2 linked regions of the Coturnix japonica genome follow. The protein of the gene in region 1 interacts with the protein of each later gene in a pairwise test. Links are inferred from orthologs where the notes say so. Each region holds a gene or a part of one and is shown on either strand. Other genes may lie near its edges. The genes, in order: EXOSC10 and MPHOSPH6.

The links.
Region 2: the proteins of EXOSC10 (region 1) and MPHOSPH6 interact in binary tests that used the Homo sapiens proteins (3 or more experiments, as listed by UniProt). The link is inferred for Coturnix japonica from reciprocal best matches to the Homo sapiens genes EXOSC10 and MPHOSPH6.

The regions. Positions count from the first base shown.
Region 1 is NC_029536.1:3,559,555-3,564,000, reverse strand, and holds the start of EXOSC10 (exosome component 10), read left to right. Parts: upstream 1-1,400; 5' UTR 1,401-1,425; coding exon 1,426-1,587; intron 1,588-2,313; coding exon 2,314-2,450; intron 2,451-3,148; coding exon 3,149-3,272; intron 3,273-3,446; coding exon 3,447-3,551; intron 3,552-3,738; coding exon 3,739-3,904; intron 3,905-4,446. Other genes in the region: serine/threonine-protein kinase mTOR, read left to right, coding at 456-471. UniProt on the Homo sapiens protein: Catalytic component of the RNA exosome complex which has 3'->5' exoribonuclease activity and participates in a multitude of cellular RNA processing and degradation events.
Region 2 is NC_029526.1:14,006,813-14,011,414, reverse strand, and holds the start of MPHOSPH6 (M-phase phosphoprotein 6), read left to right. Parts: upstream 1-1,676; 5' UTR 1,677-1,778; coding exon 1,779-1,829; intron 1,830-4,219; coding exon 4,220-4,332; intron 4,333-4,602. UniProt on the Homo sapiens protein: RNA-binding protein that associates with the RNA exosome complex. Involved in the 3'-processing of the 7S pre-RNA to the mature 5.8S rRNA and play a role in recruiting the RNA exosome complex to pre-rRNA; this function may include C1D.

The sequences.
Region 1 (4,446 bases):
GAAGCCTTACCACATGTTGCATATGAGCTCGTACATTTTGCAGGCTTATGGCAGAGATCCCTTAGACAGACCGTTGTAAGAATGTAAGTTGTGATAAGGAGTAATGGGAATGTAGAGCATTAAAGCTGCAGTCAACCTGAACACTTAGTGTTGGAAGTAAGGCATATGTTGGTCACTGATGTCAGTTACAGTGAAGATCTCCATATTCTGCAGCAAACATAAATGATTTAGTTGCACATTTGTCATTTGAGAGAGATAACATCAGACTATGCTTAAGGAAACAGTCCTTAGTTTTAAGCATTTAAGCTGTGTGTGGGGGGATCACCTGCCAACTTTTCCTATACTATTTCCTATACTATGTCTTCTAAACGGAGCCTTGGCAGTCTCAGTCCTTCTCAGCACTGCCTTTGTGAAGCTGCACTGAGCATCACCACCCTATTTTTGTTTCCTTTTAGGTGTCCTTTCTGGTAACAGAAGATCCCAAAGTATCCACAGCCTTTTTATTCTGGAGGCTTTTGCGCTCCAAACTTGCTCTTCTACAAACACAAACTGAACGTTGGACTGATATCCAGCCTTTGTCAAATAGTTTGAACTGTAAATGGAAAGAGTTATTGTATATTAACAAGTTGGTTTAAGCCAATTTATAGCTGCTATTGGAAAAAAAACACGAGCTGTCTGGAACACAATAGCTGATTTGGGTTTCCAAGGACAGTGAAGACTGATTGTACTGCAGGTGTCAATGGTTCCACTGGGTCTTTGGGGAACTGGTAAATATAACTATATACGGGTTTGGAATTACTTTGCAAAGTAAATGAATCATTTGCAGATGGATTGCTGCCCTGAATGGAATATTGGAGCAGATGTTAAGAATTTCAGACCTTCATCTGACCATAACCAGGTGCCTCTGTGCAGATCGAGCAGTGCAATGAGACACCGCTGGGGAGCTCTGTGTGCAGATTAAAAGGGGAACGTGATAACTGGCATAGGAGGCAAAAGGGGGAGAGCTGGTCATAACTTGAAATGAAATAATGGTTATAATAATAACATGGGAGTGGAGGAAGTCGTGAATTATGAATAAAAACAATGCACAAAATACAACAGAGTAGCCATGTTTAGATGCCATGTTGTATTTGGATATTTTTGTGCCAATAAATTACAGCAAAACGTGGCACCGTGGGGCTGCGTTCTTGTTTGTTCCTAAGTAGCTCTTAGGAAGAGACAGGGATGCAGGTAACAGGTTGCAGGAGGGGTCGCTTGGGGTGGGTGGGGGTCGCATGCAGCGCGGTCCGCCAGCCGCTAGGGGGCGCTATGTATAAGGCTTGGTACTGTCTACCCGCCCGCATGCGTTGCCCATCTCCCATCTTCCTCTCTCGGCCCTGAAGCTCTCGCGAGAGTTTCCGTGCGTCTGGTGGCTGAGGGGACAAGATGGCCGCCGCCGTGGCTGAGGGGAACGGCTGCGCGGTAGCGGGGAGCAGCGCGGCCCAAGGGGGCAAAGGGGGGCAGGGGGGACCGCCCGTGGAAACGGAAAGAGACGGGAGCACGGCCACGGTGCTGCCGGGATTCGACGACGTGGACGCCTTCGTGAAGGTGCGGGGCGGGGTGAAGCGGGAAGGGGCCGTGCACTACAGCTCCCGCCGGGCCGTGCGGTCACTCGGTGCCGTGATGTGGTTGGCATTGAAATAAAGCCCAGATCTGCGTCTGTGCTGATAAACCTCTCTCTAAACGTAAATCCTGGCACGACAGGCGTAGTGTTGTTATCGCTTTACTCTGTTTAACCTGATGAGATGGTGTGAATGAAACAACTGCCAACTTAGTCAATACCTGAAGGGAACTTACTCCCAGGAGGGGAGTAAACTCTTGGAAAGGGCTGATAATAGCAGGACACGGGGAAATGGTTTTAAGTTAAAAGAGGGAAGATTTAGGTTGGATGTTAGGGGGAAGTTCTTCACTAGGAGAGTGGTTAGGCCCTGGAACAGGCTGCCCAGGGAGGTTGTGGATGCCCCGTCCTTGGAGGTGTTCAAGACCAGGTTGGACGGGGCCCTGGGCAACCTGATCTAGTAAAGGTGTATGTTTGGTGGCCCTGCCAGGCAGGGGGGTTGGAACTACATGATCCTTGAGGTCCCTTCCAACCCGGGTCATTCTGTGATTCTGTGTGTGATTCTGTGATTAGTCGTGTTAAAAAACACCCAAACAAACCAAGGCCTTGCGATGTGTTGGATGTAACCGCACTGTTCGCACACACACAGGGATGGAGGTTTGTCAGCACAGTGTGCAGCAGGGCAGGCAATGCACTAACACGGTGTTCTCACACAGCACGCCCTCGGCACCATGGTGGCCACCACGAAGGCATCCAGCGGGCTGCCCCAGCCTGGCGATGAGTACGACTTCTACCGCAGCTTCCCTGGGTTCAGGGCGTACTGTGCAGCTCAGGGACATCGGCTGCTGCAATGGTAAGGAGACATCACAGCCCCGGCAACTGCCAGGCCCAGACAGGGGATTCTATGGAATCTCCAGGCTGGTTGGTGGTAAAAAGGATGTTTTAGGTCATGTGTCGAATTTTAGCTGAGTTGCCTTTAATGGTGTTGATGGGAACAAACTGCGAGTGGGGACTGTTGTGAAATGCTCTGGGAACAGCCGTTTAGTATCTAAAGGGGTATATAAGAAAAAAGGGGACAGATCTGATAGAACAAGAGGAATGAGTTTCAAACTAAAAGAGGGGAGATTTAGACTGGATATAACAAGGTTTTTTACTGTGAGAGTAATGAGGTGGTGATGCTCCATCTGTGGACACACTCAAAGTCAGGCTGGAAGGGGCTCTGAGCACCTGATGGAGCTGTGGGTGTCCTTGTTCATTGCAAGAAAGTTAGACTTGATGCCTTTAAAGGTCCCTCCCAAACAGTTCTGTGATCTAGAAAGTTGTTTCATAAAGAAATCAGTCCTATTAGTACTAAATAACTCTTAGCACCATGTAGGTGTTTCATACATTTGCTTTTTGTATGTTATTATAAGTATTACATTTGATCTGCTTTCAAACTTCTGCGATGTAGAAAGTTGAGAAGAATTGCATGGTTCAGTGTTCAGTTAATTGTTATTATTGTTGTTATTATTATTGTTTAAATCCATAATAACTGTGCTGTTCTCTTGCAAGCATGAGCAGGGTGATGCAGTACCACGGCTGCCGCAGCCACATGAAAGACCGCAGCAAAGTCACGGAGCTGGAAGATAAGTTTGATATGCTGGTTGACTCCAATGACATCATTCTTGAAAGAGTGGTGAGCAAATCATTCCTTAACATTACTTGTATAAGGTATTCAGGTACCACAAGTGCTTTTTGTTAAAATAATTCTACTGTTAGTGCTTTTGCAGTTATGTTTAATGTTTAGCATAGTACAGTAACTGAGCGGGTGTTTGATTTTCATTTTTGTTGTTTTTTTCCTGGAATTTAGGGTATTTTACTGGATGAAGCAGCAGGAGTGAACAAAAACCAGCAGCCTGTCCTTCCTGCTGGGTTGCAGGTGCCACAGACGATCGTTTCCAGCTGGAACCGCAAGGTGAGGCTGCTGCTCTTTTTCCCAGCACTGGTACTGCAGTTTGCCAGTGGATTTTAGTAGTTAAATGTTCCCTTGGACTTTTTCATATGTCCTCACTCACCTCCTTTTTCTCGCAGTACTGGGGTCAGTGAATGGAAGATGCTCTGGATGTCTGTTAAGTCATGTTGGTTTGCTTTCTTTTTAATAGGCAGGAGAATACCACAAAAGATCTAAGTCTGAAACCTTCCGACTGCTCCATGCCAAGAATATCTCTCGCCCACAGCTTAAGTTTCGAGAAAAGATTGACAATTCCAACACTCCCTTTGTACCTAAGCTTTTTATCAAGCCAAATGCTTTGAAACCATTGGCTGAAGGTAAGTTTTTTTGTTGTTGATGGGTAATCAGTTGAGAGTGTTTGACACAAATCTGTCCTGACAATCCAGAAGAGGAAATATTGACTGTAAAAGCAAGCAGGAGCAGATGTTGACTATTTGGATGAGATTGCTCTGTGACTCCATTGTTTATGTATGTGCAGTGTAAGATTTGGTCAGCATACAACATCTTTTTGTTGGTATACAGTAACTAATCTGTTCCCAACAGATATTCTGCTGCTTCTCTTTGCCACCATTGAATTTCCATGAGAGTCCCCCTGGCAGGAGGAGTTTTGTTGCTTGGTCTGTAAGTCTGCTTGACTTTACAGATACCTTTTCCTAATAAGTTAGAAAAGGAGATACACGATTAGATCTGCCTTTATCAAAGCTGCCAGTGAAACATCTCATCTCAGCAAGGTGTCACATTTCTGCTGCTGATTCACCTCGAGTCTGCACTGATGTGGATGTAGTTTAGAGCACGGGAATGAATGAAAGTGTTTTCTGAAGATTTCCCAGTCTCTTTCCAAGCTCTCGAGCAGAGCCAC
Region 2 (4,602 bases), on another chromosome or scaffold:
AGATTAAAGAGTTGGTGGTATCACATCAAAGGTATCACGCTGCTGATATATGCAGTGGCTGCTGAAGAAAGGGGCTGCAGGGACTGATGAAATGTTGCCACGCAGGCAGGAGAGGGTGATGTGCAAGGAATGGGGAAAAGCTTTCACAAAGGGCACCACACAAACCAGGCACAGTAGCTGGAGACGTGCTGATGGGTGCAGAGTAATGTATTTAGAAAGAATCATTTGAAGTACATTTCCGGACTATAAATTAAGTGAAACTGCTCAGAAAATGCCCTGAGTGACATTGAAGGCCACACAATTAAATGCAAGGCTCCGACGTGCAATGATCAACAAAAAGCAAATGCACTATTAGAGCGCATGGAAAACAGAAAACAAGGCTAAAATGGGGAGCCAATGGAGGCACTGTGCTGTCATACAAACTAAAGGCGTTTGTTTGCTAAGATACAAACCCGCTTTGATGCACATTTGTGTTTGGAAAACTGCGAACTTTTTCCCAGCTTACTTTCTGTTGGAAAGGGTTGTAAACTCTTAATGATGAACAGGGGGGGTCAAATGAAGCGGGACAGATCCCGCAGTCACACAGACCTTCTCATTTGGGCCTTGAACTTCACGAGCACCTTCAGCTCATTTTCAGAGCCTGGAGATGAAGCTGCTTTGCTTATGTGGAAATTAAATACTTCTACCCAGCGTTATGGATTGCCCTTGAAGTGGACGTGGTTCATTTGTATTTGTGGTTATATTTACCCTCTGAGCTTAACTGTGTAGTAAAGATGCTTGGATACAGATTACTCCTCCTCTCTCTTTCCCACTGCAGTAACACTTTGCCCTTCATTGTACATCTTCGTGGACTCCATTAGAGCATAAATCTTCAGAAGCTCTTCAAGCTCACTCTGACCTACATCTCGCATAGACGGGAACTTTCCTTCCCAGATTGTCTTTCCAAGCACACTGGCTCATTACAGTTTTGAACACTGAACTCTCACTCGTATTACTTTACTGCCTGGTTTATGCGCCGAATGTCAAACCAGGCATCAGAAATCTGATTTATGAGGATATATACAGAAATTGTGGTGCTTGCTGGTGGCTGGGTGTCAGCTGGCAGCTCCTCATCAAGACTTCCCTATCAGGACAACAGGGCCCAGCCCGGCAGCCTAAAGATGGCATTGCTTAGTGTTAACTCCAATACCACCCACCCAGGAACAACAGAGCTGTGAAGGTTTTTGCAGTATCCTGAGATTTATTTGCTCTCCAGTTACAACCATATCTGACTACACAGTCAAGCAGAAGTCAATGCTTATTTATTTATTATTTTTTATTTAAAGATAGCTGAATAAATCAAGCAGTCTCCAATATGAGAAGGATTTTGTAACCTTTTCCTTTTACAGTTATAAACAGCTGAAAAATATGGATAAAATCATCAGACTACAGCATGCACAAGCACACATACATACAAACAAACAAACAAACAAACAACTTAGGTTTCTTCTATTAGTTCATCACTCCATCCCAATTTACACCCCTGCTCATGAGCGCACTCTCCCCCCACCCCGTTATATATCGGCTCCATCCAGCTCATCCTTCACACATCCCCAATGTATCCTTCTCCCTCTCCTCCCTCAGCCCCATGTTATGGGCTGTGCCCCCAGCAGCCGACCCGGAACGTGGAGGGTGGAGCCTCGCCTCCTCCTCCTCCCTCTCCTCCCCCAACGTGCGCGGCCGCGGCGCTACGCGAGCACGGGGATCCAGCGCGGCCTACGGGCAGCGCCGCGGCCGCCATGGCTGGGGAGGTGAAAACAAAGCTGTCCAAGAACCTCCTCCGCATGAAGGTAAGGTGCGGGGTGGCAAATAGGAGGCATGAAGGCCGGTCTGCGGGAACGGGAGGTAAAGGGAGGCCGGGCCGGGCTGCGGGGCTGCTGGGAGCGGATGGGGCGGGCCTGGCCCTCCGCTGGTATCTGGTGCCGTCTCGGTGCTGGGTTCGGGGTATTTCCACTTCTTACACCTCGGCACAAGGCTGCTGGTTTGGTATAGCACGTGTATTTAGTTCTGTCTTCTACAGTGAGCAGCCCCAGAGAGGGTTGGTTTGTTGTGTCCCTTGTCTTTATGTTCTTTGGACCACCTTTCAGCCTCCCCCCCTTCCCATAGATACACATATGCTGTTGGTGCTCCCTTGGCCAGCCCACCATGCTGTGCATCTCAGCTCAGGTGGATTTACAGGTTATGATTCTTGTTGTGTAATTCAGTGCCTCATCCTCCTGTGATGGCTGAATATTGATTGCTAAAAAGCATCTAGTAAAAGTTGGCTTACCTTTGTTGGCTTAGTTGACTTTCCTTTGAAGCAATATCCCATTATATTTTGATAACTTGGCCAGGCTGGATGTGGCACTGGGCAGCCTGGTCTGGTGGTTGGTGACCCTGCACACAGCAGGGGGGTTGAAATGAGACAATCGTTGTGATTATTTTCAACCCAGGCCATTCTATGTTTCTCTCTCAAGAGCAATTGAATGTTGGTCTTAGTTAAGCAGATATGCAGGAGAGGGCAAGACTCTGGATTGTGGCACTGCTGATCTTTTTCTCATTTTTATGCAATAATCACTTTTTAGGTGAAACTTGTGCAGCTGTTTTTTTACCACTTTTTAAATCCTCCATGGATTTCAAAAGGCAGATTCCTAGGTTTCCTTCAGGCAGTGGAAAACCAGTCCATGAATGTGGTGCCTTGACATTTTCAGGTTTAGAGTCCAGGCAGCAGCAACCAGCTTAAAAGGGGTGGGTAGGTTTTGAGAAGGCTCTACACAGATCTTGTACTCAGCTCTTCCCTTCTGCAGATCTTGCTGTTGACAAATGCTTTAATAATCTTTTAGCAGTTGCCTCTGCGGGTGTGGATGAGATGGATCATCACAATTCAGTGGGCACTCAAAGGTGGTACATGGTCAGACCTTTTCATGGAGATGCAGTGTATGTGCTCACCTCTTGATGTCGAAAGATGGCTCCTGCTTTTAGAATAACAGAGTTCATATGATTGTAAACTAGTTTTTGTACTGCTTGATCCAGCCAAATAGCCACCTGATTGCTGCAGTACATACCCTACATTTACCCCCACTGGTGTATTTTTAATTTATCCACATGTGTTTACAGATAAATACAATCACATTTTTAATCTATTTATTCTTGTAGTAATCTTTAGGAACATAATCTTTAAAATGTAATGTGAAATGATTATTTAATTGTGTGCTTGCAGCAGAATTTCTCCTGTTGAGGTTTCTGACTGGCTAACCAATCTCCTTGAGCAATATGGTTTTCCATATGATAGATTCCCTCATTTTCCTCAAGCAGATACTGTAATTTTAATTGGAAAGCTTTGACATATTTTGGGTTGACTCGAAAACAGAAGTCAATTTTTTCTTTCATTAAAGATCTCGTGCAAATGAATGCAAATAAAAATATAATGGAAAATGAGACGCACTGTGGTGGCTTTTATGATGGGGTTTGTTTTATTTTGACTGGGCTTTCTGTAAAGATGAGAAGGTGTGGGTGTTTATGTGATGTATATTGCACGCACGTATCACCTGTGTGCTCCAAATAAGCTCAGTAACGCAGGGTTTCTGTGGGAGACAAATGTTCTGTGATGGCTTCTTGGGTTCTGTCCCCAAGCCAAGTCCACTCTAACTGAACAAAACTGTGTCCAAGTCTCTGCTAATGTTCAAGAGACAGATGAGCCCCAGTGGTGTTATCTGTCAGCCTGCAGGCTTAGCTAAGCACGGAAATGATGCTGCTTATATGAGAGAGGTAAGATTCATTGATACAGGATTCCTCTGTGCTGTTGCACATACAGGTTTGTTTTGGTTGCCACAAAGCAATTTTTGTACATCAGTGTGTATTTGCAGTGCTGGTAGCATCTTGCTGCAAATTGTATCTGTGTGAATGGTGCCCTGCTGCCAGGTGCAGTTATTGAGGTGCTTTCTGTAGCCCCAAGGGAAGATCTCAGCTCATAGGGATGTCTTTGTATCCAAGTATGGATGTGGCTGTTGACTTGCAGTGGATGGTTGTGACCTGCAGTTGTTTGCTTCTGCTCTGTCTGTTCTCCCAAACACAGAGATCACAAAAAGCATGTATGGCTTATATCAACTGTTAAATAGTATGTAATGGATAATTGTTGTCGTGTAATCATTGCCTGCCAGAACACACTCAAAAAGCCTGAAGTTGTCTCTCTCTTTTTTAGTTCATGCAAAGGGGTTTGGACTCGCAAACTAAAAAACAACTCGATGAAGAGGAAAAGAAGATAATTAGTGATGAACACTGGTACCTTGATTTACCAGACCTAAAGGAGAAAGAGTAAGGCTTCTACTTTTGTATCTCTTATTACCATTGGATTGTTTTGTAGTGCAAACAGAATCTAATTGTTTTTCTTATCCAGGAGATATTACCAATTAAAATAACAGAAAAATAGTAGCAGACTGGGAGTACAGCTTTGTTTTTTTCAGAGACATTCTCAAGGTTAAATAATCCAGAGTTTGACCTACTTTCGTTTCTTCAAGCTTTGTTTTCTTTCACTCGCACTTTCTTCTAGATGCATGTAATTAGTTTCTTTCAGGCAGGGACAAA